Mytilus edulis: one gene and its partners. The protein of the gene in region 4 purifies or fractionates together with the protein of the main gene of each other region. This does not show direct contact. Links are inferred from orthologs where the notes say so. Each region holds a gene or a part of one and is shown on either strand. Other genes may lie near its edges.

What was found.
Region 1: the proteins of dnaJ homolog subfamily A member 2-like (region 4) and nuclear migration protein nudC-like purify together in Homo sapiens (affinity purification with mass spectrometry; 4 studies listed by BioGRID and IntAct, with this or other methods). This does not show direct contact. The link is inferred for Mytilus edulis from reciprocal best matches to the Homo sapiens genes DNAJA2 and NUDC.
Region 2: the proteins of dnaJ homolog subfamily A member 2-like (region 4) and WD repeat-containing protein 76-like purify together in Homo sapiens (affinity purification with mass spectrometry; 3 studies listed by BioGRID and IntAct, with this or other methods). This does not show direct contact. The link is inferred for Mytilus edulis from reciprocal best matches to the Homo sapiens genes DNAJA2 and WDR76.
Region 3: the proteins of dnaJ homolog subfamily A member 2-like (region 4) and endonuclease G, mitochondrial-like purify together in Homo sapiens (affinity purification with mass spectrometry; 3 studies listed by BioGRID and IntAct, with this or other methods). This does not show direct contact. The link is inferred for Mytilus edulis from reciprocal best matches to the Homo sapiens genes DNAJA2 and ENDOG.

The regions. Positions count from the first base shown.
Region 1 is NC_092353.1:36,784,325-36,793,090, forward strand, and holds the start of nuclear migration protein nudC-like, read left to right. Parts: upstream 1-5,325; 5' UTR 5,326-5,486; coding exon 5,487-5,558; intron 5,559-7,772; coding exon 7,773-7,850; intron 7,851-8,669; coding exon 8,670-8,766. Other genes in the region: uncharacterized protein, read right to left, coding at 1,515-2,197, 5,185-5,264. UniProt on the Homo sapiens protein: Plays a role in neurogenesis and neuronal migration. Necessary for correct formation of mitotic spindles and chromosome separation during mitosis. Necessary for cytokinesis and cell proliferation.
Region 2 is NC_092350.1:66,304,616-66,313,317, reverse strand, and holds the start of WD repeat-containing protein 76-like, read right to left. Parts: upstream 3,411-8,702; 5' UTR 3,317-3,410; coding exon 3,233-3,316; intron 1-3,232. Other genes in the region: uncharacterized protein, read left to right, coding at 6,492-6,519. UniProt on the Homo sapiens protein: Specifically binds 5-hydroxymethylcytosine (5hmC), suggesting that it acts as a specific reader of 5hmC.
Region 3 is NC_092345.1:52,567,421-52,575,733, forward strand, and holds the start of endonuclease G, mitochondrial-like, read right to left. Parts: upstream 3,485-8,313; 5' UTR 3,446-3,484; coding exon 2,882-3,445; intron 1,380-2,881; coding exon 1,267-1,379; intron 1-1,266. Other genes in the region: uncharacterized protein, read left to right, coding at 6,859-6,864, 7,183-7,342. UniProt on the Homo sapiens protein: Endonuclease that preferentially catalyzes the cleavage of double-stranded 5-hydroxymethylcytosine (5hmC)-modified DNA.
Region 4 is NC_092348.1:49,350,609-49,358,475, forward strand, and holds the start of dnaJ homolog subfamily A member 2-like, read right to left. Parts: upstream 3,284-7,867; 5' UTR 3,205-3,283; coding exon 3,136-3,204; intron 1-3,135. UniProt on the Homo sapiens protein: Co-chaperone of Hsc70. Stimulates ATP hydrolysis and the folding of unfolded proteins mediated by HSPA1A/B (in vitro).

The DNA of each region.
Region 1 (8,766 bases), on a different chromosome or scaffold from region 4:
ATGTATACATTTACATCCAAAGTTAGATGTACATGTAGATAAGGCCACACCAATTTAATTTCTTGTTCTACCGATTTTTGGACTCCAAAATTTGGGGCGAGCGAGCGATTTGAAAATTTTAATAAAAAAATATTTAATTTGAAAATTTTTGAGGCGAAGCTTGAAAAGTAAAGGCGAGCAATTATAATTTTTTTTTGTAAACATAAAATAGTAGGTTTTGACAATATTAAAACTTGATTTATCACTTGTACTTTGACATATCTTTAATTTCTGAAGTATTTTTGCCCTGTTCACCAAGAAATAATTAAATCTGGTCTATGTATGTGTAACTGACAATGAGACAATTCTCAATCCAAGTCATAATCAGTTTTGGGGCAACCCCTTAATGTTATAAATATCCCTTTTACCGTACATGTTTTATGAGGGATCAATATATAAAAATATAATATATTTGTTTGTACAAAAGGGCTCATATTTTCTCAAAGAACTATATATCTATCTGGTATTAAATGGTCAAAACATGTCCAAGAATTTTTGTAATATTCCTGGACTTTAACCATGTTAACACATTTACTTTAACAGTTTAATATTATTCAAAATAAGTGGACCCCTCTTTTAGAAAAAGTTGTTTAACATATGATGTACTAACTTTCCTCTTTTTGAGTACAAAATTCTAAGTTTTCAAAGGTTTTGTATAGAAGAACTATACAAATCCTTGGTATTTCTATTTTCTTTTCTACATCAGTAAAATGACACTTTGTTCTCAACCTGATAATAACAAACACAGGTCAAAGTACGGCCTTTTACACAGGGCTTTGATACAGACCAAACAGCAAGCTAAAAGGGAGTCAAAAATTATTAGCGTACACAATTCAAAAAACCAACGATCTAATTTATATATCCGAACCGGAAAATACCAATGAACCACATCAACAAATGATAACTGCTGAACGACAGGCCCCTGAATCAATCAGGACAGGTTGCATAAACATGCAGCGGCTATGGATAGTTTGTTTCGCCAGCATACAATATAATTGCAGTTGAAGGCAAATCCTTCAGAAGTTCTTTGTACTTTATTCTAACAACGAACATATTTTGATAGGGAATATTAGTAAGGGGGAAAGAAACCATTTTTTTGTTCTTGAAAGGTATTCCCGCTGTTATAAATTTACATCGGAGCACTCTCACTTTTGATAAATAGGTTTCATGCTAAAACAAATATTCTCACAGATATTTACACAGTGTGGTGGGGTGCTTTTATGTTTAAAATCGTTATATACAGGTTAGACTGTTATTTTAAAAACAAATGTTGATATCTTTTTATAATATTTACAAAAAAAAACGGTGCGGGGAATGGACATGATTACATTTCCGGATGCGGGAAGCGGGAATATAAAAAAAAAAAAAAATATTCTGTTTTGAAAAAAATAGGTGCGGGCGGGTCCGTCGAACAAGGAATCAAATTGGTGTGGCCTAAAAACAGACTAAAAGAAAGAAAGAAGATTAATTCTTACGTGTTGCAGGAGCCTCTGAACCCAATAGGTACATAGAATTGACACTATTTGGCTCATAGCTAGTCTTTACATATGATTTTGCTGTTCTAGGTCGTGGCTTGTTTTCAAGTTCTTCCAACTTCCTGTCTAAATCACTAAGTTCATAGGAGGCCTGTAATGTCACAGGAAAAAACTTCAATCCGTTTGAATCCCTATATTTCAATGAATAATTTCTTTCATCATCATTAAGCTGTCTTGTATCTTGAAGGGCTAGAGCAGCACCTAACGTTCCACTATTCTTTTGAGGTGACCTTGACCTTGAAGATGCTCCATATCGTGGCGATAATGAATATTCCTGACGGCTTAAGTGAACAGGTTTTGTATACCACAATTCCTTACCATCATCAACAGGAAGACCTCCAAAAGATTCAGTAAACAGCTTCCTGTCTCTAATTCTGTCATATTCTTCTTCTAAAGGAGTTTTGTGACTCAAACTGTAAGGCGAGTGATGACCAGAAAATGTCACACTTCTTCGCAATGTACTGTCTACATTTTTGCTAGTATTTTCCAAACTTTTGGCAAGATCTCCTAGTGACTCTGCATATTTTCTGTCGCGGTAATTATCCTCCTGATCTAATATGTGTTGACTTAATCGTGATGTTGTGTTTGTAATTCGAGAGTTCCTCAATCCTAAAGGCTTTTCACTGAAAGGACATATAAAAGAGAAAACTTTAATTATCAGGTGGCAGTTACATGTAATATTAGAGTGTATACTTTTACGTATTTTAAAAGTGATCAATAATATGGCCATTGATTGTTGTACTTGTGTTTTATTTGGCACGAAATTATGTTACATTTTATTGTCAAGAGTCCAATATCTTGGACATACACATTTCATGCATGGTGCAGCTTGTAACTTTAGTCAATAATAACAGCATTGTTTGACTCTTTCTTCGGCTTAGTAATCATCGCTGTCTTAGTCAATACCACTGTCCTTAAAGGGACGTCAATATATCACGATAATGACCAGTTTTTCAATAACTATTATGTAATGAAATGTGTGTTTTGACAATTGTTCTTTTCCACATGCTTTCTAAAGCTTATTTTTGATACATGAAGGATTTTTATACATGTACTACAAATATTTTTCAGTTTGAGCCAAACTTTATTTTATTTTTATAAAAATTTGACTTAAAATGAAACCAATTTTTTCTGATGATGTAATTATGTTATGTTTAAATGTAAAACGGCTAAATATGACCACATGGTTAATCATGAACTAAGTATCATCGACTTCTACATACATCTTTATATATATGTTAATGAAAGCAATCCTATCACAGTAGAATACATGTAGGTCAGATCCAAAATTTTTAGGAGGGGTTTGGGGGAATTCCAGGAACCAGTATAAAAGACTTTGAAGGATTCCTTGCTTAATTACATGTAAGGCACCAACACTTCGGTGCCATGATTTTCCCAGGACATCAAGAAATAATTTCCTAAGGTCAAGAACCGATTGATTTGTCAGGAAAAACTTGATTTTACAAGGTGTTACATACTACCTACCATAAAATGGTCGGATTATTCATATCCGACTAAACGGATTAAGACATCCATAAAAATAAGTCTCTACTCGTACTGTATACTACTTAAAATAATATTAAAAGTTTTAAGATAGCTGTGTTTAATCAATCAAAGTGCATTTAACTTCAGGCAATCGATTACCATGTCTTGTGGACGTAATTTTTCAAAAGGTAGACAACCTAATTTGTATACATTTTGTACAAGATATAAAATCAATTTTCTAACTTGTAATTTTATTGAGTATAAACGACCATATAGTATGTACATGTATATAACACCATGTCAAATCAAGTTTTCAGGTGAAAACAATCAGTCCTTGGAAATTTGATTAGTTCTTGCTATCCTATGAAAATCATGGTACATGTACCCCTACCGCCGGTACCTCGAATGACCGAATAACACTGTTAATATCAGAATAACACTTGTAATTCCCGAATAACACTTGTGATTTCAATATTAGCACATATTGGTGACTTTTAAACATTGATTATTAATTAATAGTATATTATCGATGTATTTTATAACTTATAAATGATTTACAGAAAGCAGATAAGTTCATAAAAAACTTTTAAAATTTAGTGTGTACATCGAATATGGCGACCACAGAAATCACAATGGCCGCCATGTTCGATGTACACACTAAATTTAAAATTTTCTTTATGAACTTATCTGCTTTTTGTAAATCATTTTTAAGTTATAAAATACATCGATGATACATTACTATTTAATAATTAATGTTCAAAAGTCACAAATATGTGATAATAATATGAGGCAGGCATAACCTGAGAATGGAGACGAAGTCCGTATGATTTTTTTTTTATGAATGTTAAAAAGAGAAACGAAAATACCGTAACGTTTCCGATTTTGGTTCTGTTGTTAAGGATTTAGTTGTGATGTTATAATGTCATATTCAATGTAAACAAAGAACGTTATGTTTCTGATTTTGGTTCTGTTGTTAGGGATTTTAGTTGTGACGTTATTAAAGTTATGACGTCATATTCAATGTAAACAAAGAAAAGCTATCATCATGTAACGTTTTTTTTTTTTTTTTTTTTATAACAAACAATTTTTAAAAATGAATCCTTTCTTCGACTGATAAATATACATTTTACAAAGTCTCATGCAAACAAGACCGGAAACGGAAGTAGATTTCTGTGCAGAACCGGAAATTCAAAAATTCGACAAAAAAAAATTGAACGATTTTGAGTTCATTAGTACAATTTCCTGATTTTTTTTTTTTTTTTTTTTTTTTTTTATTGAATTTTCTACTGTTATTGGGGTTCTGTTGTTAGGGATTTAGTTGTGACGTTATTTAAATTATGACGTCATATGCAATGTAAACAAAGAAACGCTATCATCAGGTAACGTTTTTTCATAACAAGGAATTATTAAAAATGAAATTAGTATTGCGCGTTCCTTCCTATTTTATACTAGACTGATAAATATATATTTTACTCAAAGTTTCATACAAACGAGACCAGAAAAAGGAAGTACATTGTACATTTCTGCGCAGGTCCGGGATTTCAAAACACGACAAAAAAAATTGAACGATTTGAGTTCATTAGTACATAGCTGCGAAAACGTAGCTCTTAAGGTCCTTTTGATGATTTTTGATATTTGCGGATACTAGATTCAACTGTTGTCAATATATATCAATTAAATTAATTTGCATTGAAGTCTATGGAAAATCTAGAGGATTCTTAGCCGCATCACCTCTCAACATTGTTTACATAACACAAATGCTAATCATTGATTGGTCAGTTACATGTTGTGATGTCACTGCAGATCTGAGATATTCTCATGATAATGATGTTTTGTACAGATTTATGACCCAAAAGAATTGGACAAAGGCATAAATCAAACATTGTCAATGATTCGGAATGGTTTATTTGAAGTTATGTCTACTTGGGATGTAGAAGTATCAAACCAAACCAGTATGACAATAACAGTAAAAGTCCTGTCAAGACTGGTAGCGATTGTTTTGATACTTGAATGTTTTGAGTTATCTCCACTTGTCAGGTGCTTGTTAACCCTTAATTTATTATGCATTAAAGAATATTGTCTACTACTGCTGAGAACGTATATTCAGTTTAATTTTTAAAAAGACCTGTATGAAGCTCTCTGTCCATGTAAAACAAAATCTTCATCGGGGTTAAGGAATTGTTGGCTTCTTGTAAATTCCCGCATGCTGAAATTCTTTTGTTTACGGAAGTAGATAGTTGGATACGACGCATGCGAAGAGCAAAGCAGTGCATCTGAATCTCTGAACCGCTCTAAGAAATTGATTTTTGAACGAACATACAAGTTTCAAGCGCACCTTGATCTCCGGTGTGGACATGCACATTTCCGTTCAACGATTTTGAAAGCGAAAGAAGACCTACGAAACACACTTACCAGACAAATAAAACAATGGCAGACCCCCAAAGATTTGATGGCATGTTGCTTGCTATGGCTCAGCAGTGTGATGGTGGAATACAGGAGGTACTTTAATTCATTTCACACAAATATTGGGTAACATGAAGAAAGTTGTGCTTGGAAGTAGAGATCCCAAATGGTCTAGAATGTTCTGCCTGGCTATCTATCACCCCCTCCCCTTTTCTCTCTCTCTTTCTCTTTAAACGACGTACATATATATATAGCCCCACAGGACGCAATTACGACTGGACACAATTACGAACGATTTCCAATGTTTGCCCTCTTAGATCATATTTATTTATATTTATCAATAAATGTTTTTATAAATAAAAACCCTATTAAAATTCCCTTGTTTTAATGATAATACAATTTATGTGCACTCGGTGAATGTTGATGACGATGACAAAATCATTCTGAAAATATTATAAGAACGGCAATCTGGCCTGCAAGTTATATAAAAAAAAATAAAGGTAAGTGCATATTGCCTTTTATTGTTAATATATTGAAAGAAAAATATCTCCTGATTCCGTTCATATGCGTGATGCCTTTTATCTTGCCCTAATAACCCCACAATTGACGTTTTTTAGACTCTTGTGACCAATTTTATGGTCTGACAAAAGAAAATATGTTAATTTTATTGAAAAGTGCAGAGAACTCCGAAAGAAATGTTGACCTATATAAAAAAGATTCATAGATGAATGATAAGTACACCACCAAAATGGATAAACTTGAATTTAGTGCTCCTTTAAAGGAGGAACTTACATAAAAACAAAAAAAATCAGAAATCTTTCCTTTACACATGACCGAAATTTCGTCTGCAACCACTGCTGAAGTATTTGAAGTTAAAAAACAAACTTGTGCATCTTATTTTCCTATGAAAATGTGTTTGAGATAAAGATTAATGTATGCTTTATCTATGTAGACTCTTGTCATTGATTTCTTCTGCAAGATATATCAATATAGTGCTGTTCGGAATTGGGTCCATATGTGGCTCACTGACCCGTAAAACGAGGTCACGCAAATCTTGCTAAAGTATCCTAACGTGAATAAAAATTTATGTGGAATATGATGCAAAATGGAAAGCCTTCATACAAAATTCTATGGTATAAACAATTCAAGAAAAGTAGTCTACATAAAAAAATATTAATCACAGTTCAAAAATCGTTCGTAATTGTGTCCGGTAAGGCTATAGATATTTACACATGTCTCAAAACCAGGGTACGAATTCTGCTGAGAAAATAATGCCTACACAAAATTGCAGACCTAACATAAAATTTGTTGGGTAAAATGACTTAGTATCAGTATTAATATCGGTTTTTATGACGATTGGCTGTCTTTCGAGGTCACCTTGATGGTTAATTGGGATCTCCTGTAGTTGGTGATCGCAATACTGGTATACACAATTATGTAGCTGTGAATCCGTAGCTCTTAGGTGCCCATGTTATTTTTGGACTATTTGCAGACCTTAGAGCTTCTGATTTTTCCTATTTCAAAATGTTCGGAATTGCGACCCAGGTTCATGTCTCACCTCCGGTATAATGTATTTCCCAAAAATTTATTGTTTATAATCCATGCAAAGCTTGTCCCTATATATAGTTCGTTTTGTTGAATATTTTTTTTTAAGATATGACGTACCTATTTAAGTTTGAATATTCATTTCCTTAAAACTATTATCTAATTATTCCCATTTGTATACATTCTCTGCCTTTTTTGTTCAGCCACATTGAATCTTGTGATGTCACGTGCAAGAAAAACAAGAAAATATAATATGACTAATGATATCTATTTTATGATAAAACTTGTTTTGATTTGCGATTAGAATTATGTGGTTAATCTATTGAGGACTTCCAATAGTTTTTCAGTTGGATGCTACCATTGAATAAATCTCTTAAAGTCTAGTAAAGTGTGAGATTTTATCAATTTTATACTGTAAAGCCTATCAGATTTGTTTCTCTTTAGATATACTGCTCCCAGGTTTTAGTACAAAAAAAAATGTATGTTATAAATCAAATTTGAGAATTTGAGAAAAATTGGTTAACATGAATTCGACAGTTAATGTCCATATAATAATGAGAATAACTCATAATGCATATTCACCTACCAAAATTACAAATGTCAAACTATTCAAACCAGATTTAGCTCAAACATGCAGTTGTCATAGTTTTCCAAAAACTATTCATGAAACATTGACTGTTTGAACAATATTGTTAAGTGTGTAATATTGTTCATGTAGATATGTGTATATATAATTATTCATATTGATTTTCTCATATTTTGCAGTTGATAAGTGCCTTCTTTAGTTTCTTATTAAGAAAGACAGACTTTTACACAGGAGGATTGAGAGGAGATGGAGAAAAGGTAAGACTAGATTTTTCATATAAATTATTTTTTCTAATTATAGAAAGGAATTAATTATGAAATTCTTCCCATGTATTTTTGCTGAAAGTTTTATTTGGGATTGATAAACAACATGAAAAAAATAGACAATAAATGCCATAGGTATATTTTAAAAACTCATAAGTAGAAAAACAAATTGACAATGCCATGACAAAAGAAAGAAAAGGACACAAAGACAAACAAGAGTAAACACAGCAGAGAAAATTAAATACCATGGGCAATTCAAAGGTGATCAAATTCTCACGAAATAATTTAAATGTGGATATGACAGTTTTCTGCTTCAAAATGTCAATTTTTGTTACTGGGACTCATTTTGTGAGCTTTTTACTCCTTGAAAATTGCCAAAAAAATTGCCTCAGTGGATGTCCTACATTAAACCAAGGTTTGCCTTCAGATCATATTACAATATAGATCTGACATTAATTAGGACAGCTTGTTTTAGTTAACACAAATGCTACAGTGAGTAAGAGTAGTTATTTGGGAAAGATTTCCCTTTGAACCCCCTTCTGTTGATAGAATAGGCATATACATTGTATATATGCAGGAGAATTCAAAAGGAAGTCTTACCATAATTGTGTTAGTATAATTAAATTTATGTCTTAATATAAATAAACCATTATAGGTCAATGTATGGTTTTCAACAGGGAGCCTTGGCTCACGCCGTTCTTATACATGATACAGTATGTAGCATAAGTTGTTTTACACAATTCTTTTTCTTGAAATATTTTTCTTAAAATGGAATACACATGCTTTCAGATTTAAGTCTTGACTTTTTTTCAGATGATTATGAATGCATTTAAACGTTACCAAGATATGGCAGAACAAAAAATGGCAGAGATAAAGAAGGAAAAAGATGAAGAGGAACAAAAGAGGAAAG
Region 2 (8,702 bases), on a different chromosome or scaffold from region 4:
AGCGTTTGGGCAAACTAACCTATTCTTTTTTATGGCCTGATGTATCTAAAAAATGTTTGATATCCAATTTCCCAAATCTTTGCTGTTCATTTTATATTTCAAACAACCCTTTCTTATTGTGATGTAACAACAGCATTAGAATTTTAACATTTGAGAAAAGATAAAATAAGCTACGATTCCATTTGAGGTGGGCAAATATTTATTTTGTTTCAAGATGTTTCTTTGTTAATTGTGCATGTTGTGGGAAAACATATACATCTTGAAACAAAATAAATATTTGCCCACCTCAAATGGAATTTCGTAGCTTATTTTATCTTTTCTTTTGGATATTTCTGGATATATTTTACATCAATAAGCACAAAAAAGGTAGGACTTTGTCAATCTGCGCCAAAAACTTTTTCAACTACTAGTCTGAAGACCAATATTCTGACATTTTTCTTAATTGTCCAAACAAAGTTTTGCAAAAACTTACTAGTCCGAATGAAGTTTTAATGGACTAGTATATGTAGCTAACCGTGCAGACTGCTTTGTAACTACGTAAAAATTTCTAACCGGCAATGAAAATTTCATGTCAAAAATTATTAGGTGTCAAAAGTTCCCCCCAAAATTTGCTCTCAAACTCCAGACGTAAAACATGGCTTCAGCGTTATGGCGTCGTAGGAAGGTGTCCCAGAAAAAAAATTAAAATAGCCTTGCCAGACGTCATAATTATTTGGACTAGGTCATGTCATGATAGTAGCAACTTTTGGTTAGACAGTTTTCTAAAATGAATTGGTTGCTAGATTTAGATTATTCCGTTGAAAGATTACCAAGGATCAAACTAATAAACTAGCACTGAAGCAGGTAATGATGGTATTTCAGAAAATTTGCCAACCATAGGCATTAAACATATAAAGAAAACTACTGCAAAATTAATACTAGTACAATCAACAGGTCAGGAATAACCACCAATTGGTGGATTATTCCTCAATTGACGTATAATCCACCAATTGACATATAAAGATATAGACCAATTGGTGTATTTTTTTTTGTTTTTCAAAACAAATTATTTTACCAAAATGGAGCATTGTTTTCTTAAAACCATATTATGGTATGAAAACTTGTCAAACATTCCTAGTTTAGTATAGTGACATAACATATTGAATTTAATCAATAATTGTATTTGTAGTTTCTTCTATTGTTATCTTGTCAATTCTTGATTGGCAAATTTACCTGTAATCACCTGTCAATGTATGTATGTATGTATATATGTACTTCGAGATTCCACCAATTTAGACGCACCCCTTGATTGACTGCAAGGGTACAGCGGATCCATGTACACTCCCTAAGGATTAATGGAGATGTGTCCTTTACAATATTATCCTACCACCAGAACAATCCCCACCCAACACCGCCCCAAGGGAGAGTGTAGGACACAGGGAAGTCTGTTATTATGGTGGAGGAAGCCGAAGTACTCGGAAAGAAACACCGGGCCACTCGGTGGAAACACGACAAACCAGAGAGATATCAGAAGATTGATCTCCAGGTCAAAGTAGGGGACAACTTTGACCAACTGAGGCCCCCAAAGTACCCATTCTAGTTTAAACTCCAGTCTGGGTACCAGAGATGTGTGTGAGAGGGTCAGTGTTCCAGCTAGGCCGTTTTCAGAGGGCGCGGCGCCCGCCCTTTTCCGAGTGGCGCCCTGTGCCCTTTTTACAGTTTCCAGGGCGCCCTGCCTTTTGCATATTAATTTGCGTATTGATATGATACGCTAATTACTAAATTTTACCTGGGGAAAAGATTATGACTTTGTTTACCACCCCAAGCTAATCAATGGTTACAACTGGTGTCATAATCTGTTGTTATAGGTAATCCGTTTATCGGATGGGTCATTAATGATCATCAACATTAATTCGTTCAAATAGAATCGGTCAGTCGGCAATTATCTTTGAAGAAATGTGCATACAACAACTTGGGCACAATTTGCGATGTTTACCGTAGTTTCATGGAAGAAACGTAATGACAGAAAGTTGGAAAACCATTATAAACTCGTTGAAGACATTGTTTTACTTGTTTTCTGTAAAATAAACAGAAAATTCAGACGTATTTGCGATTGACTGCCTTCATTTTTGATACGAAAATAACAAAATCGGCCGCCATATTGTGATCATATTTACATCATATTTACGTACTGTTTATAATCCTCCAAAGAAGGAGCACACCCGAATAAAGAAAGATAACTCAATCTGATTTTTTTCCTAGCATTGAGTAACCCATTTACATATTCTAAAATGTGTCTCCATACTTCTTGCTTAAGAATATATATGTTTAGGTATTTATTTTGAGTTATGGGAAAAGTTAAAGAGGGTCTTAGTAGCAGTGTTGGTAGGGTGCCTTGGTCATCTTTTTCTGTATTCTTTATTTTTGATACTATTTTTCACTGTTGCTTTATATCCTAAAATTGTGAATTTCCTGAGCACAGCTGTTTTGTGCTGTATTGCTATCAAGCACAGCAGGGGTAGAAAGGTGAAACTGGTAAAATGTGGTAGACCATAGAAACAGTATGAAACAGATCTCCTTTCAAAACATACTGCATATAAAGTTCAACTGTGCCAAGCAATGATAAAAAAACTTGTGTGACAAGCTGCTTGACAAGTTTTTCAGCCTTAAAAGTAGAAAGATAGAGTTCTATATGGGCTAAAGATGTTGTTCTTGTATAACCTGTGATTCAACGAATAAACACAAATGTTTGATTAACATCTTTTATTAAAATATGCCCTTTTCATATTATCATATCGCGCGTTAAATGCCCTTTTTCAGGATTGACACCCTGCCCTTTTGAAAACCTAGCTGGAACACTGAGGGTGAAAATCACCCTTCTGATGTACTGATATTTTAAGCACCCAGACTGGACAAATGTTTCAACAAAAGAATTGTTGTACACATGCATTCTCAAGAGATGCAGCAGGCTTTGACAAAACTGAAACTTTCGGAGGACTCAAATTATAAGGGTCATAAAAATTATATGTTGCAAGTTGCAAAATCATGCTCCTTTCTCACACTAGCATTTTATTACAAAAAAATTGCATTATACGTCAATTGGTCTATACCAATATACCTCAATTGGTGGATTATACGTCAATTGAGGTATAATCCACCAATTGGTGGTTATTCCTGACCTGATCAAGGAAAATTTTGTATAGTCTTACTATACAAATCCTTGGTACAATTAAATATGTTATTTTGAGCTCACCTTGCTCCGCTTTGAAATAACGACGGGAGGAGATAATGTTGCAGCTTTTCTTTTCTTCATTGAAAAATTCCTAGAGGTTGGCATGTTGTTGATGTTTTCTCTACAAACCGCGTCAAAAAATTGTTATGAAACAGTTCCCGCCAGTACTTTCGGAATTTATTCGGAACATTATTTCGTCTTCTTCTTTCGTATCAATATCCCCAGAAAGGAACACCTCACACAGGGAAGGTCTATGAACAGGACAGATAAAACCAGGACAGTTATTTTCGATACGTTTTTATCTGTAACTTTCGTTTTACTCAACATATTGTTAAAATGTAAATTGTATAATAAAGAACAGGATATTTACTTATATTATCTGTAAAAGAAAATAAAAATAAAAAATAACTAAGTTAAAAAAAAATCTGCCAGGACAGTTTAATATTATGAAAAAAATGGCTGAAATTGCCGAGAAAAGTTTACTTATAAATGAAATATTTTCTCCAAAACAACTGTCTGGCATAATATTTTTGTACGATTATAAAGTTTATGGAATATTTATTCTAAAAATTTATGGTTTAATATTTTTTTTCATCTTTTAAAGGTAAAAAAATCTGCCAGGACAGTAGCCTTTCACGTTAGAAATTTTGTTGAAATTATTTCAAAATCAAAATATAAAATTAAATATCTTCTTCAAAATAAATGTCTGGTAAACAAATGTTACTATAAGAAAAAGATAGATTTAATAAACCAAGGATGTGAATAGTGTCTTACTATACATGTGTACTTTATTATGTGACTGTGTGAATTCTTTTTATTGCACTCAATATGTGACACTTTAATAAACAAATTATTCCGGCGAGTCATTTAATGTATAGCTATAATTAACTAAATGATTTTTGCGGATTCCGGAACTTTCAGTGAGATATAATAGATTTAAATTTGATTTTGAGTAACAAAAAGAAAGTTAACAAGAATTTCCAGCTGAAAATCTAACAGGATTTTGTCACCATGGTCACTTTATTTCAAACATCTAAATAAAAGGATCAACACCGATTGGGACTCTGATAACACTGAGTTAATTGTTAAAAAAAAATATGTATTTGCATACCCACAAGGTTAATCTTTTGTATTGGAAAAAGAATGACACATTTCTTAATTCAAACTGAAAAAAAAACTATAACTGGTAAAATATATATATATGGATTTTTTTTTATTGATTTCTGTATCATTGACATATGATTTCCAACCTAGAGGTGTTACAATGTATGTACGTCCGGTGACCGTGCACCCCACTGCATAAATTAAATATGATATACGTCTAACCTTTATACATTTGAATTATCATACATTTATATTATTATATACATCAGTTTTGTTTTTGGAAGATTTTGTAATTTTTAGAGAAAAAGAATGTTGTAAGAACTGCCCGGTGTTTTTTCCCCTCTTTTGAATACTCAAATTTTAATCAAATTCTGTTTTATGATTATTCAGATTATTAGTAGTTTAACATTAATACGATATATAAAATGTGCCACAAAACGAGGAACCACACGGTCTCCGTTCAATATTATAACCTAATTTAAAAAATAGTTTAACTGCCAAATCATTACATACATAAAGTATATCGCAATTAATCTATTATTGTAATATGTTTAATAAACTCTCTAGCCAATGTAGAAGAAAACACACACCAAGACGCACAGTAAAATGTGCCTGTCACGAACCTATAATTCAGTGGATGTCGTTTGTTGCTGTTTCACATATATTTTTTTTGTTTATTATTTTTGTATAAAAAACGTTAGTTTTTCTAGTTTTTCTTGTGTTTTTTATTCGTTATTTCGTGACATTGCGTTGTGGGTTTTGCTCATTGTTGAAGACTGTACGGTGACCTAAGTTGGTAACTCCGCGCCGTGACGTTGTCTTTTGGTCTTTTGTGGAGATGTGTCTATCTAATTGGAGAACATACCACTTCTCCTAACTTTTATATCATTCTGAAAGGAGGATAACCAAACACTAACACGTTTTAAGTTTAACACCGTTACATTTTGTAAGTGCGATCTAGTCCTAAGTCAGAAGGATGGGCAGTAATTCAGTGGTTGTCGGGTTTTTCAGTGTATCATGATATTTCTTTATTAATTTTTCATTTACTGTTTAGATTATTGATAAATAGAATGGCATTATTTTTCTTCATTTCAGTTTTCTCAATGGCAATCACAACACATCTTGATGAAGAAAACAATTTGTAAATTTGCAAGGTGGCTTAATTATGTGTGCTCGATTTAAGGATACCAACAAGTACTATAGTATGACCGCAAATCTACCAATTTTTAAAATTTAAAGAAATACGGCTAGTTTAGAAGTAACTACGCTTTAGAAAACAGATGTTGGCAATATTAACAGATTCGATACTTTAATTGACATGTATGACACGAATTAAAAAAAAAAGACTTAATCTGTTGTCCGCTATTCTAAATGCATTTATTTTTTAAATAATACACACAGGACAAGCCAATCTATACCTTGACATGATATAATATATTATGGATATATAATACAAATTTGTAGGACAAACTGCATACATGTTTTGATTAACCGACCTAAAGCCGAAAGGTCAAAATGAATTCGTACGAGAAGTTATCCCTAAATTTAGTATTCAGTTCATGTTACAGAGTGTTGTACACGTAAAACTGTGAAATGTCTTGACACAAACTCGGTGAAAAGTTATCAAAAGGTCAATCACATCAAACGAATGGAAAACAAGTGTCATACCCCAGACTTTAAACCTAATATGAATGTATATATATATGGTGTGCGCAAGTGTCAAAATATGTGTGCTATGTCAAGAACGGTAATTTATGTTCAGTAATATTTCAGTTATAATTATATTATCAAAACATGCATTAAAGGCCTTACGGTGACCTATAGTTGTTAATGTCCTTTTGGTCTCTTGTGGAGAGTTGTCTCATTGGCAATCGTGCCACGTCTTCTATTTTATATATAGTTTGTAATTCAGGAGTAAGGTTAGCAACTGCATTCCTGTTAGATAGTTAATTTACATTTCTTTAATCTTTAATCTTTCCAATTTAGATATTCAAGTCTTACAATGTTAATTATAACATAAAAGTCAAGCCTTTGCATGATTAATTTTAAAGTCAACACATGAATAATCAAGTTCATCAAATTAATAGCCAACATTTAAAAACTACAATTATTTCTATTCTGGCTATTCATTTATTTCTTGGAGACTTGTGCTAAAGTGTTTTCTAACAGAATCAAAATGTCTGGTAATTACAAAAACCACAAAGGTAAGTTTTTTTCAGGTTTTTTTCAGTTTTATTGTATCCAGGGACTTTCTATGCTAACTGGACTCGTCTCTATTGATTTTGACTGATTACTAAGCCGCCTGTTTAAAGCTACCACTCAACAATAAACTTAGTTTCGTATCTCTGATATACGAAGCTAGTAGTTATTTGCGTATTTCACAGTACATTGTAATGATATAATTATTATTAGTTTTTAATATAAATTGTTATAAGTGACCAGTCCCGTTAGTATAGAAAGTCCCTGTTGTATACCAAGGTAAATCTGAAACTGAACAATTAAAGTCAATCCATAGTTTTTTTTTCATAATTTCTATTATAAAACACTTTATCCCAGTTATCCCTCCTTTTATCTATGTTATCTCCCCTTATTTGGCAAAGTTGAAAAAAATGAATCAAAACAAACTTGGTGTTTATTTAAAAATTACAGTGGTAAATATGATAAAACACATAATTTTCTTTATTTACATCAAAAGTCTTACACGTGAATTACGTACCACTCTAGAAATTTGCACGTTTCATTACAGATCTAGACTAATCTGTAACTTCAAAATCCAAGATGAAGGAAGACATCCGAGCCCCCCCCCCCCCCCCATGAGGAAAAACCTTCTATTATTATTATCATAACGCATAAGTTGTATGTTTGAAAGGCACAATTATGTATAGATTATTTTAAATACAAGACAAATTCAATCAAATATTAAATTAATCATATCTCGAAAATTATATATTTTGACTTTTTTTCACTTTTTTAGTGACTGCTTTGTTTTAACATGTCCTGGTAGATACAAAAAGGCGTTTTACCTTGGTCAGTTGGTCAACACAATATCAAATGGAAAGCAAACACATTTACTTTAAACTTTAAATATTTTCCAGAACTCAACAGAGAAAATTGTTACGTTTTTTAACTAGAACAAGTGAGACAAAACTAAATGAATTGTCAGTCTATTGAAATTATTGTAACACTTTGTAAGTTTGTTTTATGCCGTAAATATATTTTATAATCGTCAGGGGTGGGTCCAGGTAAGGGCGTAATGGCGTACCTTTTCAATTTTTTTTTTAAATATCGTAATCTGCTAATATTGTATTGAATATGGCAATTTATCATATTCATTACTTAAACATATACTCTGATTTCTTTTTATACTGATTCCCCCATCCAATGGGTGACTTGGACACCTTTTTTCAACAATATAAATCTATACATGAAATGGTTGTTTTGTGTGACACTTCCCCAATGGCTATTCTACATCTACACGGGTCTGGGGGGGGGGGGGGGGGGGGGGGGGTACTCGCTATATATACTTATATGATACCGGGTATGTTCCGACAAACGGGGTTGCATTTTCAGCAAAATTGTCTGAATTTGGTTATGTTTTTTTCTCGCCTTGCATTGGAAGGGGCCAGATTTAACTATCTATAACGGGGTATTTTAAATATACAATGTTTACACTATTGTTTCACATAAGGGTGAATGTTTGGTACCATTAAAACGTTTAAACCCGCTGCAACTGTTTGCACCTTTCCTAAGTCAGGAATCTGATCTTCAGTAGTTTGTTGATGTGGTTTATAAGTGTTTCTCGTTTTACGTTTTTTATATAGATTAGACCGTTGGTTTTTCCCGTCTGAATGGTTTTACACTTTGTCTAGTAATTTTTTGGGACACTTTATAGCTGGCTGTTCGGTATAAACCAAGGCTCCGTACTGAAGACCTTTCCTTAACCTATAATGGTTCACTTTTATGAATTGTGACTTGGATGGAGAGTTGTCTCATTGGCACTCATACCATATCTTTTTATATCTACTCAATTGAAAACAACGTTCAAACATATGATTGCGTTGGATAAAAAACTGCAATTTTTATACGGGTGCATGCAAAACAAATTTATTGGTAAAGGGGTCTAAATACAGCACAAACACCATTTTCCAAAAGACCAAAACAGTGAATATGTATATTTAAAAAAACAGGTAGATATATAAATCAAAAGTTCAGATCATGCCCATTTCATATAACATTTTAACTGAATTTACAACTTCTTCCAAATATTTGATTTCCACATGTTAATCAATACATAATTTAGTGACTGTTTTCACCAATATGTCTATCATGGAGTCTATTAAAAAAAGTCATAATTTGATGTTAATTACATTGTTGAAATTTAGGAGCT
Region 3 (8,313 bases), on a different chromosome or scaffold from region 4:
GTCTTTTTTTTTGTTATTTCAATAAGCTTTCAGAAAAAAATATATAGTGTATGGTTATGTTTATGTTCTGCTCTATTGACTTTGTGAATTTAACAAATGAAGATCTCAGACGGAAAAGTAGCAGATATCTACTGGGTTTTTTTTTTAAGTCTATCTTTGTCAACTTCGTGAAAAAAGAAACATTTTGAGCAGATTTCAAAAGTTTACACCAAAATTCCTCTCCATTATGCTCAATTCGTGCGAATGAAGATCTCAGTGACAGAAAAGCACCAAGTTCTCTACTGGTTTTTACTTGGTTTAATAGTTTTATCATCTTCGTAAACACATTCAAAAAATTGAGTAGTCAAACCAAAGATGAAACAAATTTATAACAAAAACTCCACTCTGTACATATATGGTAAATGTCATTATTATGTACTATGAAAAACTAAACCAAAATCATTTGAACGAAGAAACACATGTTTTTCCACATATCACCGAAATCAAAGACAAAAAGATACCCATCCTTTTATTTTTTATTTATTTATGCATCATTTAAAAAATTGTAAATTCAATACATTTTTCACTTTACCAGTTTTATGTAGGCATACATGTACGAAAACACATGTGCTTCAAAGAAACGAGAAAAACACATTTCATTATTGTAATTCAAACGAAACAATTATGTTGCAAAAACGGGTCTATTGACTATTGTTCTGATTTTTTTTTATAGTTTACGGAAAATGTATGAGTTTTCAGTATAGATATGATGGTGTTCATATGTACTCAATATTCCTTACAGACTGCTTGTAGAGGCGGATTTAGGGGGAGCAGGGGGCATCGGCCCCTTTCTTCTGGGAGAAAATGGTTGATTATAAAGGGAATCATTGAAGCATCACTGGAGCGGGCCCCCTCTAAGCAGTCAGTGGGTCCCCACTTAAAAAAATCTGGATCCGCCACTGGCTTGCTGCTTCTTTTTGTGCATGATAATTTAACTTCTACAGCTATCTATAATAGACATTCTTGGAAAATTACAACGGCAATGATCGACCACTTGCCATCTAAATTTTATAACTGGACACATATAAAGAGTTGACAAAAGGCAACCGAAACTCTTTTCATACAATTTCTAAAAGGTTAAAAGATATAGCATAGACAAAGGAAGGATTAAATTACCAATACTTGTTTTCTTTCTTCCTATATCCATTTAGTATTTCGAAAACATGAATTTAACTAATATAAAACTCTTCATTAATAGAAATTCAAAAATAAAGTATTGCATGTTACCTTGGGAGATAGAGAGGCCCTGTACAACAGTACACATTTCTGCTTTGTCTGGCTTTCGCCCGGACATACTTTTCCAAATCATTCCAGGCATCTCTATTGAACCCCTCTCCGACCTATTCGAAAAAAGTTGACAAAATTAATGAAAATAAATTAGAATGAAAATTCATGTCCAACAACATGCTAGACGTATTTGACAAAGCAAATAGACATTTGCAACTCATATTTACTAAAAAAAAATTGTATGATTTTAGCATTTAGTACTTTAATACCTGTAGCTACGTTTCAGTGTATGACCTGGCTTCAACTGAAAATACCTATTTCTATATTGATGATATTACACACTTTGTATATATGGATAAAAAATGGTGTGCGGGGTAAACATTCATGAGAAGGCAACAGTCGATTTACACTATACCGTCATGCATATATAGTTCCTTAACTTTAATTTTATAACTCTGGCAAAAGTTAGTCAGATATGAATTATATTAAAACTATACTGTAAACCTGGAATAATTTATTTTCAGTTGCATTTCGAGAGCAAATAGCGTGTCCTTGTAGTTTTATAGCCATTGGCCATACCTATCACCCATCAGTTTTCATTTGCCAAAAATTATCAAAAACTTTATCAAAATATCTTGAAATTATAGCTTTTTGTTTAATTCTTATATATAGATTAGATGTTAGCTTACATTTGTGTGTACTTGTATATCTTGTAAATTAACAGCTTCCAATCTGTATTTATTGGGTAGTACAGGCAATAATATTAGAGTGTAGGACCGCATGATTGTATATTAGCAGGATGAATATTTTAGTTACTGTTAGGATCATTTTTAATTATTAAAGATAATTAATCTTTTCATTAAAATTTGGATGAAATGCAAAATTATTGTAAGTAAAACAAACACGAAATATTATTGTCATATTTAAATGTTTTAGTTTCATAATATAAATGATATAGCTTATGTTGGAGATGATAGGTCGTTTAGGCTGGTTTTTTTTTTTTTTTTTTTTTTTTTCTTGATAAACAAAATGTTTTAGAACAAAGCGAATTTACAAAATATCTGTTTACATGGTTTAATTCCATTAAAAATTTGGGGGAAATATATACAATATTGGGTTTTCTAATAAAATCCTCCCTGTATATCATTGAAAAATAAGTTGACATATATGTTATAATTCGGTTAAGTTTCACCTCTAATATCTTATCTATTTGTCAGTGTTCTTTTCATGTATTTATATCTTTTTATTCTTCATTCTTCAAGTCAGATTTTTTTTTAATAAAGATTGTTTTATCTTTTCGGCAAAAATCCCTGTTAACTTTAAATATACAGACTTGTAAAACATAGTTATACATGTAATATATGCAGAAATGTACGTGTATGCTTTTATCTAAAATACATCAAGCTATGATAAATTTAGAAAGAATTTTGCTTGATGACCTCTATACATTTTGAACATGCATGTAATTACATGGAAGATACTTTTTTAGTCTACCGAAATAGCTTGTCAAGATTATTTCTTTTATTGTATATTACAACAGAACCCTGTAGGGACTTCCAAAAACCTGCATATATGTGTACGCAAAATACTAAAGAACCAAAACTAATAAAACTACCTGAGGTGATACATTGCTGAGAGTAAAAGTCTGGTCCATAGCTTTCTGTGTGTGGCGATGGTTAGCTGCCGCTGCAAGATGTCCTTTGTCATAGCCACTGTTTTTGAAGTCATTTTTTGTAGCCCGGAAGAAATTGTGGATGATGTTGTCTTCCAGAAATTCTGATTTACCTCTCTTGATGTTTTCATTCTTCATAACATGCTCTGGTTTAATGTGTTCAAATACCCATTGGGCATTCCTATTTCTTCTGTCATAGGACAGTACAAAATTGTCAAATGATCGAACTTGATCCAGACTAGGAAAGCCAAACTTCATGATTTCTGAAACGCGATTTACTGGTTGTGGAAAAGCTGCAGGCATACTTGTACTTGTAGTGGCAGGAATAGACGACGAGGCAAAAACTGACGGAACGAATAATGCTTTGGTGTCAGTCAAGGGTAACAAATGAGTTAGAGGGTCTTTATTTTCCTTCTTCAGTTTTTCATATTTGGTACCAAAGAATAAACCAATTCCCATAGATGCTCCACAAAGGCTGGCAGTTGTGATAAAACGAACTCTTGACATGTTCGTGAATAATCCAATGTCAACACTGACAACGTGCTAGATAATGAACCGGATGTTCAATAAAATCCAAAGTAAATAATGATGATTAACATACGGAATATTTATTTCATTAGTTAAATCTGTTTGTACATTTATCTTTAATGGACGTTCTTAATTCTTTCTTATTTAACAGTTTTTGCATGGATTTTTTTTCTCGTAATTTTTTTTTATATAAAGAGGACTTCAGCTTAACAAAGCTTTTAAAAAGTATATTTAGACCTATTAAACTGTGGAAGTAAAAAAAGAACATGACAAAAAACAACAAAATCCAACTTGCAATTACAAGCTAACGGTCAGTCTTTTTTTAAGATGTTTGGTTTCGGTTGCGTGAATTGTTTATTCATCGGTAGTTGTTTATTATATTTAGCATAAATTTTGCAAGATTGATTAGCATTATCTATAATACTAAAATTACGAGGTCCAATTTGTCAGCCGTCATCACGTAAAAACGATGAATCAAAGAATTCAACTTTATATACAACTAATATAGTACAAAGGTGTAGATTAAAAATTACACCACTCCAGTCCCTTTTGTTTTCCACGTAATTAATATTGCCAATAATTAGGAAGTTCCGGGTCGAGTCCAATACCGATACCAATAGTATAATCACCTGTTACCTATTACCTTATCTGTACGTTCCGCATCTGACAGGCGCACCACCAAACGGTGTATTGAGGATTAATATGCTAAATACACGGGTCATAATCACAGGGTTGACACTACTAAATTGTCAAATTGTTACCTATTGTAGTATTTTAATCCGTAAGACTTTCTAAGATAACAATACGAATACTAAAAATCTGGACTAAAAATATTAAAGTTTCAATTTGTTAGCGGGCATGACGTAAAACAGCGAATCAAAGAATTCAACTTTATTTATAACTAATATAGGACAATGCTGTTGATTAAAAAATACTCCATTCCAGGACCTTTTGTTTTCCAAATAATTAATATTACCAATAATTGATAAGTTCCAGTTCGACGGGTTCAAACAGAAAGATTTGAAAGCAGAGAAAATTGTGTATCTTATAATCGGCATGACTTTATCAGATGACAGTACTAATACTAAAATAAGGCTTGCGCATAGTTATATACTTTAATTCAGTCACGGACCCGCGATATCACGGGTGTGTTCTAGTATATAAAAAAAATACTTTTGACGGTTGCTTGCTTAATGTCTAGTGGCAAGTATTTCATGCATATTTACAGCGAACAAATTAAAAGTACTGAAGTGCTGAACATCGTATGACTGCAAGTTCTTGTGGATGGTCACGTACTTTTTCAAGAAAAAAAATCACATCTCTATGCCTGAAAGTCACATTACGTCCAGTGGCAAACAAAACATATGCGTTATCAGGACAACCATACATTAACAATTAATACTATAAATAAGTTCTATAATAAGAGGCGAAAAAAATCCGGAACTTTGGAATTGTACTTTTATTTTTTCCTGAACTGTGGAATTGTACCTTTATTATTTCGGGAATTTGGGATTGTGCCTTATTTTGTACGGTTATTAGGAATTAACACTTATCAGGGCTAGAAATTCAAAAAAATATTCTTGGAAAGCGGGCAAAGACTTTTTTTTTCATTTTTTCGGGACTTCAGTATGGCATTGTTCATTCCCTTTACATAATAGAGCCCGTTTGAAATTAAAATCTGATGAAATCCAACTGCCACAAGATGATAAGAGAACATGTACAGGGACAAGTGTGTTGCCTTTCAGCATTCCACCGACGGCGCACTGAAAGAGTTGTTACAAGGATTTTAATGTGCCGAGGAGGTATTTGATTTTATATCCACATTATAACATACATAACACTGCTGCGTACTTTTACATCCCGCACAGCCGAACGGAGCCCCAACTTTGGAAAGGGTGATACTCTTATTCTTATAAAGACCTAAAAGACTATATATTTCAATTTGCAATTAAATAGTAAAAGGAGTTTACGTCAATGAAAGAGCAATAGCCAAATAACGGGGGAAAATTTGACGTTTTTATAAAAATGAACCCGATTGGGTGTTTATAAAAATGACACGCTTTAGTTGCCTTCTACAACTTTACATATTTTGGAGTTTATGCAGTGACGTTATATGGACACGTTTAGCGGAATCGGACACTGTGGGGGATGGACACATTTCTGGGTGCTTCACGGTTTGATAATTTCTCTCCATATATTCATTGTAATGTCGTTAATGAAACTATAAAACCGGACAAATATCGTTCTGGAGTTATAATGTACATTTCTTTATTTTGGAGAACAGGATGGAAAGTAAAGGGTACGACAGAGTAAATGTGTGACCCCTGATGTTGGGTAATGCAAAAGTAATTCTATCAAATAACAGTCTTACGAATCTTATTTTGTTTTCTTTCATTTAATACAAAAATATATAAACTTGGTCGGCTGAATCATGGCCATAAATGTTAAGAAATCTCTGGGATTTCTTTTTTCTGTTGGATTTTTTTATAGTAAACATTTTAACCCCGAAAACTGCAATAATAGTAGATTAAAATTTACGTGTTGTTTACTTTGACAACACATGCACCTGTCTCAGAATTTTTTTTCTTATATACCTTAATTTAACACAAGGTACTTAACTTGCATTTTAGAAAAAATGTCAGGCGGTGACGAAATTCCGTTATATGCCCCTTTCTAGGCTGTCAACCATACTAAAACTTGTTATATCGTTAATCTAAATTGATTTATCTTTACAATGGTGTATAACACGCCTACATTTGTTGTCGGAATTATTCGTAGCAATCCTACCCAAGTATGTCAATCGTAATAATTTTGCCAACCGCTGAAAATTTGGAAAGAAACGTCTCGCAATATATTAAGGTATATGAGACGTTTTTTTTCTGAGACAAGTGTCTGTAAATTATAAAAATATGAGAACATAAAAACTTGAGAATAATTGCTATCTTATCTATTCACTTGCAGAACAAGGATTGTGAAAGAAGATACACGATCAATTTGTCTACGTTTCGTGCAGGCTGTACCAAAATGCACTTATTTATTTTGATTATTTTGCTCATTGCAGATTTTGTATATGTTAACAGGTCAGTACATGTATGTAATATATATTCACTTTGACTCACCCAAAAAGAAAAAAAGACAAAATGAATTTGGTATGCACCAATAGGGAGGTAATAAAGTTAGCATTGATATAATATTAATAGGGTTGCAGGAGCGGTTTTATGTTTCAATTTAAAACATTAAAATGCATCAAAACAAAATCTGGCAATAAAACTAGCCTTTATACAAACAAGTATCTGGTAATCGATCCATCTTGATAAAATTGGAAAAGATTGACTTTTCTCCGAAAGAAGGAATATCTGATTCATGGAAGAGACGCATTAAAAAAAGTAAATATGGAGGTTTGAACAATATTTAAGCGGTTTTCACGTATTCATGAATTGCCAAGAAATTTGAAATCAGAATATGGAAAAGTTTATATTGTCTTAAGCAAAAGATAAAAGCGTGCCTTTTTAGTGTTCTCGGTGTCTTAGGTGGCTGAGGTTATATTTGATAGATTTGTTTTTTTTTAAACCAGAATCAGAGATTATAGACTCCATGCTGAAGCATATGTCGCCTGCCAAAAGTTGAAATGTTCGAAAATTAAGATGTATAGAAGATCTGTTGCTTAGAATTATCACCAAACACAATTTTTATTTTAAAAAATACATTAATTTCAGTCAGGTATAAGAAGTGCAATATTTAATTTTAGTCAAACGACACCAGGGTATAATTTGAAAGCTTTGGGAGTCAAGGAATTTTTACGTTTTGATGCCAACCATGATGGAACCATTACTTTAAGCGAATGGGAAACTGTTCTTCGAGGAGATGATGATGATGGTAAGTCCAATAAATGTTCAATGAAAACAGCGATGTTGGAAGGTACGGTATGTGCTCAAAGGAACCGGCGATGTTGGAAGGCACGTTATGTGCTTAAAGGAACCGGCGATAATGGAAGGCACGGTATGTGCTCAAAGGAACCGGTGATGTTGGAAGGTACGTTATGTGCTCAAAGAAACCGGCGATGTTGGAAGGTACGGTATTTGCTCAAAGGAACCGGCGATGTTGGAAGGCACGTTATGTGCTTAAAGGAACCGGCGATGTTGGAAGGCACGGTATATGCTCAAAGAAACCGGCGATTTTGGAAGGTACGTTATGTGCTCAAAGAAACAGGCGATGTTGGAAGGTACGTTATGTGCTCAAAGGAACCGGTGATGTTGGAAGGTACTTTATGTGCTTAAATGAACCGGCGATGTTGGAAGGCACGGTATGTGCTCAAAGGAACCGGCGATGTTGGAAGGTACGTTATGTGCTCAAAGAAACCGGCGATGTTGGAAGGTACGTTATGTGCTCAAAGGAACCGTCGATGTTGGAAGGCACGGTATGTGCTCAAAGGAACCGGCGATGTTGGAAGGTACGGTATGTGCTCAAGGGAATCGGCGATGTTGGAAGGCACGGTGTGTGCTCAAAAGAACCAGTGATGATGGAAGGTACGTTATGTGCTCAAAGGAACCGGTGATGTTGGAAGGTACGTTATGTGCTCAAAGGAACCGACGATGTTGGAAGGTACGGTATGTGCTCAAAGGAACCGGCAATGTTGGAAAGCACGGTATGTGTTCAAAGGAACCGGCGATGTTGGAAGGCATGGTACGTGCTCAAAGGAACCGGCGATATTGGAAGGCACGGGATGTGCTCAAAGGAACAGGCGATATTGGAAGGCACGGGATGTGCTCAAAGGAACAGGCGATATTGGAAGGCACGGGATGTGCTCAAAGAAGACGATGATGATGGTAGGTACAATGTATGCCTAA
Region 4 (7,867 bases):
CGCCATCATCAAACAGGTCTTTCGCTATGTTTCTATAACTCCGTTTGACTAAACTGCTTTCCTGTTAACTGTTTGTTTTGAATTTTTTTAATTTTTAAAAACCGGAAAAAATACTTTTTTCGAATATGGACCATAATTTGGTATTCGGCCTTTGGTTTCTTTTTGTATCCTTTTTTATAAGTTCTAAAACTTTAACTTTTATTCTGTGGGTTGTGTTGATGTTAGAATAGTATTAATGGAACAATTGAGTTTTTCGAGAAAAAATTAATACATTTTGATTCACCGTTTACGTGACAGGAAACAAAACAGGAAACCAATCTTTATTTTCTTTATTTTGCACAATATATTTCAAAAGACATAAATGAACACCATTACTAGTGTTACTTGCTTCATGTTAATATTTAAAATCTATTTTCAATGTTAAATTAAAGTTTTTTTTAAACGCGACAGGAAACCATAAGAAACCGAAAGCATTTTTTTAGTTTTATTTTATTGCAAAATCTGCTTAAAATGATCTGAACAGTATACTTTTTCTTAAAATCCATCTTAAATGTAACAGTATTATAAAACTCCTAAATATGTGCTTGTTTTGAAAACAATTAGTACAATTTATTCAGGAATTTCCGTATTTTCTTCATTGATACAGGATACCATAATCGTTGTATCTTGATGTTTTAGCCAAAAAAATGTATTTATATTTGGTTTTGAAATTCCAGTTATATACAATTTATTCCAAATCATTGGTAATGTAAAATTCTTTAAATCCAGTAAAGAAAACAACTTTTAACTTGGAATTAGCATCTTTAAAATAGGCACCATGTGATATTTGTGACCTGTACACCATCTACATGGTTTCCACATTTTAACCTACTTTAGTGGGCTAAAATCAATAAAGTACTTCCTTTCAAGTAATGCATGGTAAAAGTTTACTTTTCCTTTGACAAGTTTATTGCGTTTCTGATAAGTGTTTGCAGAACATGAATAAAAAAAATTAATTAAAAATTGTGACAAAGATACCAACTTTGTACATTCCAAGTGTAACGGTACATTAACATGTATTTTTTATTAAATTATCTTTATTCACCTAAAATATCCAGTAATATTTACTGTTGAAGCTAAATCAATCCAACGAACATTGGCACCATGATAGGAGACGTAATTTCGATTGAATTTTCCAAGGACCCTTCACATCGTTATTGGGAAACGAAGTGTGTTAAAACGTCGGTCAAATCTGAAATCGATTTTGTCAAGTCATTGGGCATTTATTTTCACACAAGATCGTATGTAACATTATGCACATGGGAAAAATAATAGACCCCCGGCGCAATCTCTTTGAAAATTGTATTTTCCTTTTTTAAACAAGACGAAACAAGCCTACAGATTATGTTTGCTTACATCCCGTTGGAAACAAATACAATGTTTAGACCTAGTATTTCGTATATCCGGCTGTAAGGGCGTGATCACATGTTAGTCACATGTTTCACGTATGACCGGAAATGATTAGAACTTAACGACAAAAACAATTTTAATAAATAAATGGACTTCTGTTTCGTGTGAAATGTAACGCATAACGATAACGTCATTTTCTAACTTAATTATTACGAAGAACAAAACAAGAATGTAAATCATCTCTGATTTACCTGTTTGAACATCTCGCGAGAGTTCGTATTAGCATATTGTTGCAAAGAATTCTTTTACAACAAAGCAGATTAAACCATCTAAAATGTGCGTTACGAAATGGGAAACCAAAATAACGACAGTGTTCTTACACCTGCTACAGAAATACTTATAGTTCTCGGCATTTTCTTCTCACTATTCTTATTGGTCGATGTTCTTTGTTATTTTAAAGCAAAAATTACGAATTTGCCGGTGACGATTATCTATAAATTAGTCAGCGTTATGCACTTCGGACGCGAAAAGTAACGCGAGAAACGACACACAAATACGGTCGTATAATCTTTGAAATTTGTTAATTTCAATTTTTTTTCTAGGGAAGAGTAGCATACACTTGTATGTTGATAAAAATAATGGCATCTTTAGATGTAGTTACAACTTTTCTTACAGTAATTCACATTTTATCACTTTTCTATAGTTATAGGAAACGGAGCCCAATAGCAAATTATGGTCCATATCTCTTACCTTTTCTTATAGCTACATTGCATTCGGAACCCATATGTAAAACTGGTAACCAACAAGAATGTGTCCAAGGTACACGAATGCCCCACTCGGCACTATCATTTTCCATGTTCAATGGACCGTGAAATTGGATAAAAAATATAATTAGGCATTAAAATTAGAAAGATAATATCATAGGGAACATGTGTACTAAGTTTCAAGTTGATTGGACTTCAACTTCATTAAAAACTACCTTGACCAAAAACTTTAACCTGAAGCGGGACAGACAGACGAACGAACGGACAGACAGACGTACAAACGGACGCACAGACCAGAAAACATAATGCCCCTCTACTATCGTAGGTGGGGCATAAAAACAGGAAAGCAGTTTAGTCAAACGGAGTTATAGAAACATAGCGAAAGACAACGCAGATGGCGCTGTATTTTCACTTCCGTGAATGGAGGTTCAAATGGACGACAATTGTAGAACAAAATCAGTAAAACAAGACACAAAACCTCCGCAGACCTATTTAAACGTTGAGAAAAATATCTCATGAATCTAAGGATGTACTTTTTATGAAAAGTAAGTGAGTTTTTATATGAAATTTTTATCGATTTCCTGACCTGATCCTCCAAAGTGAAAGTAGGTCAGTCATCGAAGGTAATTACCTTCTTCTTTTTTCACTTGGGGCTCGTATGGATAGTAAAAAAGTTATTGCAATCGACTAGCAATGGATTGTTGAGACTTGATACATTTTTAGAAAATTGAAAATAAATAAAAAAACACCAATTTTTTTTTAGAGAGGTCCAAAAAAGGGGGGTCCATGCCCCAAATACCTGTGGGTAATACATATAGTTTAATTTATCATTGTGCAAGTTCAAACCATGGAACGTTCTAATTTTCTTACTGAAATCCTGAGTCACCATCCGCCTTTGAAAGTGACAAAATTCATATTTGAAATTAGTCAGGTACAGATAAGGCGTAAGGATTGACATATACTATTGCTTTTTCATTGATACCTTTTTGATTTCATTGTCTTGGGCAGATCTACTGACGCCTAAAATGTCGTATAATTTTGAGTCTGCCATTTTCACGAGGTTCGATGATCAAGCACTGCCACCTATGACAGGAACTAGCGGTTGCTACATTAAGGGGAAATAATATTTCCCGCGTTTGAAGTCTCTTTCCTCCAATCTTTTGAAGTTTTTTAAAATACATGTACTGGAAATTTTGTAATAGACAATGTCAACAGTGGCGGATCCAGAAATGTTCATAAGGTGGTACCCACTGACTGCCTAAGATTGGGCCCGCTCCAGTCATGCTTCGGTGATTCCCTATATAATTTCCTATATAACCGATCAATTTTTTCACACAAAAAGGCCCCCCCCCCCCTTTTGTGTGAAAAAATTGGTATGAAAAACTCTCTTAATCAAACTTATAATATCTTTTGCATTGAACACTCTGACTTGAATATAATTTTAAGAAATAATGCCCTTACTCTATATGAATTTTAAAAAGTCTATTATAAAGGCTGGACGAATTAAATGGTGTAATCAAGACTGTGCTCGCGGCAATACATCCGTACGACCGAGATACAACAGGATACATTAATGGACAAAGAAGTTAATAACTATAATTCGGATATACTCTTTTTCAGTGGTGACACAAAAAGACGATTCTCAAATTTAAATGTGTTTTTCTTTTTTTCTTCAATTTAGCTAATATTCATGATGAATTTGAATTTTTTTTCAGTGCTACTGAGACAGGGACTTTTAATACTATATGTTAGTATAGAAAGTCCCTGACTGAGAAGACAAAATCACAATGATTTGTCATTTATTCTGACAGAGACACATACTATATACTAATTGTATTATATGTCTCTGATTCTGATTTCTATATTTTATTTTTAGTTTTAACGATTTTTTTTTATTTTAACAATTAAACTTCTATTCAAAGTTCCAGGAAAAAACATGAACATATCAGCAAAAGCACTGACGTACAATGAGTATTACGAACGATTTTTGTTTATGAACATAGTATGTGATGGCTAAGGTTTGTTATCCAGAAACTTGGCCAGCATCACGAATTAGTCAATTGAATATCGATTGTACATTATAATCCTGACTTGGTTAACTCAAGTGTACTATCGTTAACGTAGATATATGTTAAACTTGGCAAACCAAAAAACCCCACACATTGTCATAAATGATCATAAATCAGCCGAACCGAAAGCATCAAGAAACGCAACAATGAAGTTTGGTTTTCCGAACATCTTTGTCATTCTCAGTAATAGCGTATGCACGATCGATATGTGTTATCAGTTACCGCTGTAAGCATTCAGATAGCGAGCTCAGGTTACTAAAATTTTTTACTTCAAAAATGGGTCCGACTTGTCAAAATGAATGAGCACTGATGCACCAGTATCATTATTTACACTAGAGATATATATGTCTCTGTTTACACCAAGCGTGACATTGATAATAAGTTCGTTTAAAATTTTGCAAGCAGATCTCAACGAAGATGAAGTTGGAATCAATTTTATAAATCAAGAGTTACCATTACATGTACTTGTCTCTAAAAAAAAGTTATCTTTTTTTTTGTCAAATTTCATGCATTCTTTTTAAAAGCTTCATTCGGCTGGTTTTTAGACTTATACCTCGAATTTGACATAAGAAGTCATCTCAGTATCAGAATCTATGACAAGCGAGACGATTTTAATCTTGAAATTATCAATTTTCCCAACCTTAGTGGCAAAATACCAACTTCACCTGCATATAGGATATACATTCCCAAACTCATTCGGTATTCTAGAGTTTGCATGTTATTGTGCGCTGGTCATTTTTTTGTATTCTCGTCTTTTATATTTGCTAATATGCCTTGTATATATATGTATGTCATTTTGTTTTTCTTTGTTGACATTTTTTAAAATAATTAAGATTATAACACAATTTTTAATATCCATTTTTAGATGGTGACGCTAACCTATGTCACCATCTTATGGTGTTTATATTTCTCAACATGAAACGAATGACTTGTGAAAAATTACCAATGCATGTAGTAAATCATAAACTTAGTCTTCTGTGCACGATTTTAACATTTCTTACGCCAAAATATCGTATAATCGTCAACTTTTTTTCTCTCTGTTTGTTATGATTTAACAAATATGTCAGCTTATTAATCGCCGTGTTTTGAAGACGTAGTTTACCGATTGTCACCTTATAGTAAACAATCATGGGAACAAAGAAGTATGGATATTGAGAACGTGTATAACATTTACAATCAGATCATAGATTATTTCAATGACAGATCCATGCGTATTGCGATCACCGGGTTTTTACTAGGAGGGTCACGCTAAGGTCACTTGCATATGCGAAAAATATTTCGGCGAATTGCTTCCTAAAAGCAAGCAATTGTAAAAAAAGAAAACTTCTTCTAAATGTGGACAAATTAAAGAATTTTCTTCAAAAAAAGTATATGTACATAAGTTTTATAATGAAAACTATCCATTTAGTTATAAAAAAAATATGCATATTTTTTTCTTTAATTTGCGGTTTCACATGACTTTAATTGTTCGGTTTGCTCGTGTATGTAACAACGTATTAGATTTTAACGAAAGAAATCCTTGAATTACGGAAAAATTATTAAATTTGTGGTTTTCAATATCACAAACTAGTCAAAACATTTACTTAATTTTTCATTGTACTGAAGAAAAATACCCAAGATAACAATGGATACATAAATTAAGTATGCTACTATAGCAGTTACTGACATATTGCTTATTTTTTTTTGCCAAGTTACCTATTCTTACATCGGACTAGGACTTATTTTAAACTGAGCTTTACTGTACGTATTGCTGTGTGTTTCTTTATTCTACATTTGAGAGAGTTAATATCTCATAAAACATGTTTAACCCCGCCACATTTTTTAGCCCGTCCCAAGTCAGGAGCCTGGCCATTGTTAGTCTTGTATGTTTTTTTTTAAATTTTAGTCAATTTATATGTTTTGGAGTTGAGTGTGACGTCCATTTTCAGCCACATTATGTATGTATGTGCCTGTCCCAAGTCAGGAGCCTGTATTTCAGTGGTTGTCGTGTGTTCATGTGTTACATATTTGTGTTTCGTTAATGTTTTTATATAAATAAGGCCGTTAGTTTTCTCGTTTGAATTGTTTTACATTGTCATTTCGGGGCCTTTTATATATGCGGTATTGGCTTTGCTCATTGTTGAAGGCCGTACGGTGTCATTTTTATCTCTTGTGGAGAATTGTCTCATTAGCAATCATACCACATCTTCTTTTTTTTTATATATATTGTACACATTTATAGTTAGGAGTCAGCTGCAGCTCACCTAAGTGTACAGGATTTTCTCGCTGTGTTGAAGACCCATTGGTTGCCTCCCCCTGTTATCTACTCTTTGGTAGGGTTGTTGTCTGTTTGACATATTCCTCATTTCCGTTCTCAATTTTATAGTGTACCCTTATTTTTGACATGTTTATCAATTATTGAGCCTTTCATTTTGTCAATTGATATCTTGGCCTTCTCATTTTGAATTCTCAATGGATTTCGGTATTTTTTTATTTTACTTTTCTATTGCATCTGTATATGTTATATTATATACAGTAATATAGTTGAGAAAAAAGAATTAGAGACAAGTAAGTGCCTGTGATCTTTCTTTGTAATTCCTTCAGGCCTATTGATGGATTAAACAAATGGTTTTGTTCAAAAATTTCTGGAGAATCCCCTGCACATGGCCTAGGACTATAATTAAGTTACTATAGTAGTATAATATTCCCAAACATGGCATTCCAGATTAACCAACTATGGGTTCACCGGCTTTTGGACGGAAAAGACACGTTTGAAAAAAAAAATTCCATTTGAGATAACGAATTACGATTTATATTCAGATCCCGAAAATCGCCACGATTGATTAATAATTCTATGCTTCATAAAATGTATATCTTCTGCTTTAGATTTATCTCCCTTTAGCCGTAGAGTCTAGAGATCTATATAAATTATTACACATTTTATTTCCTGTATTTAGTTTACAGCATAATTTTTTCAATGTTGTTCTCAAAATATAACAAGGTTTTCTCATATATATGCATTTAAAGACTTGCCAGATATCTAATATTAAATTTTTGATGGCCTTATTAAAAAAATACTAATTTACTATAGAAACCTATTGGACATGTATTGTTTGACAAAAGCTTCGGGCGAATATTATCGGCTTTGTATGAGTATCTGAAAATTATGTTATACAATTTCAGTTACCAACTATGAAATTTTAATCATTCAGCTTTCAAATCAAATAAACAATATTTCGGGGCATATTGTAGGTGACTGCTTGTCTCATCGGAATGTTTAAATCAGATTGGCAACCAAACCAAAATCTCCTTCATCATTTATATCATCAACAAATCGATTTGAAAAAAAAGTCACAATCAAGTGTGCAAGAGAAGAGCAAGTGTTATTTCATAATTCCAAAACTTCACTTAGTTAGTTTAAACATATTTATTTATAGTGGAAAAACTTCACTTAACTGCACGATTTACATCGGAGGAAATAAAACGGAGAAATCATTTATTGGAAGGTTTTAAGTTTGTTTTTGAGAAAAGACGTCTGGTTTGGAGATAGTAAAACCAAGTGTTGATAGGATGCCACACCTTCTGCATGCGCATTGTGCCTGCTGTAGATGCCCGAAGTAACTTGTTGATCTTCAAGATATCTGCTGACCTCGTCTAGTACGACCA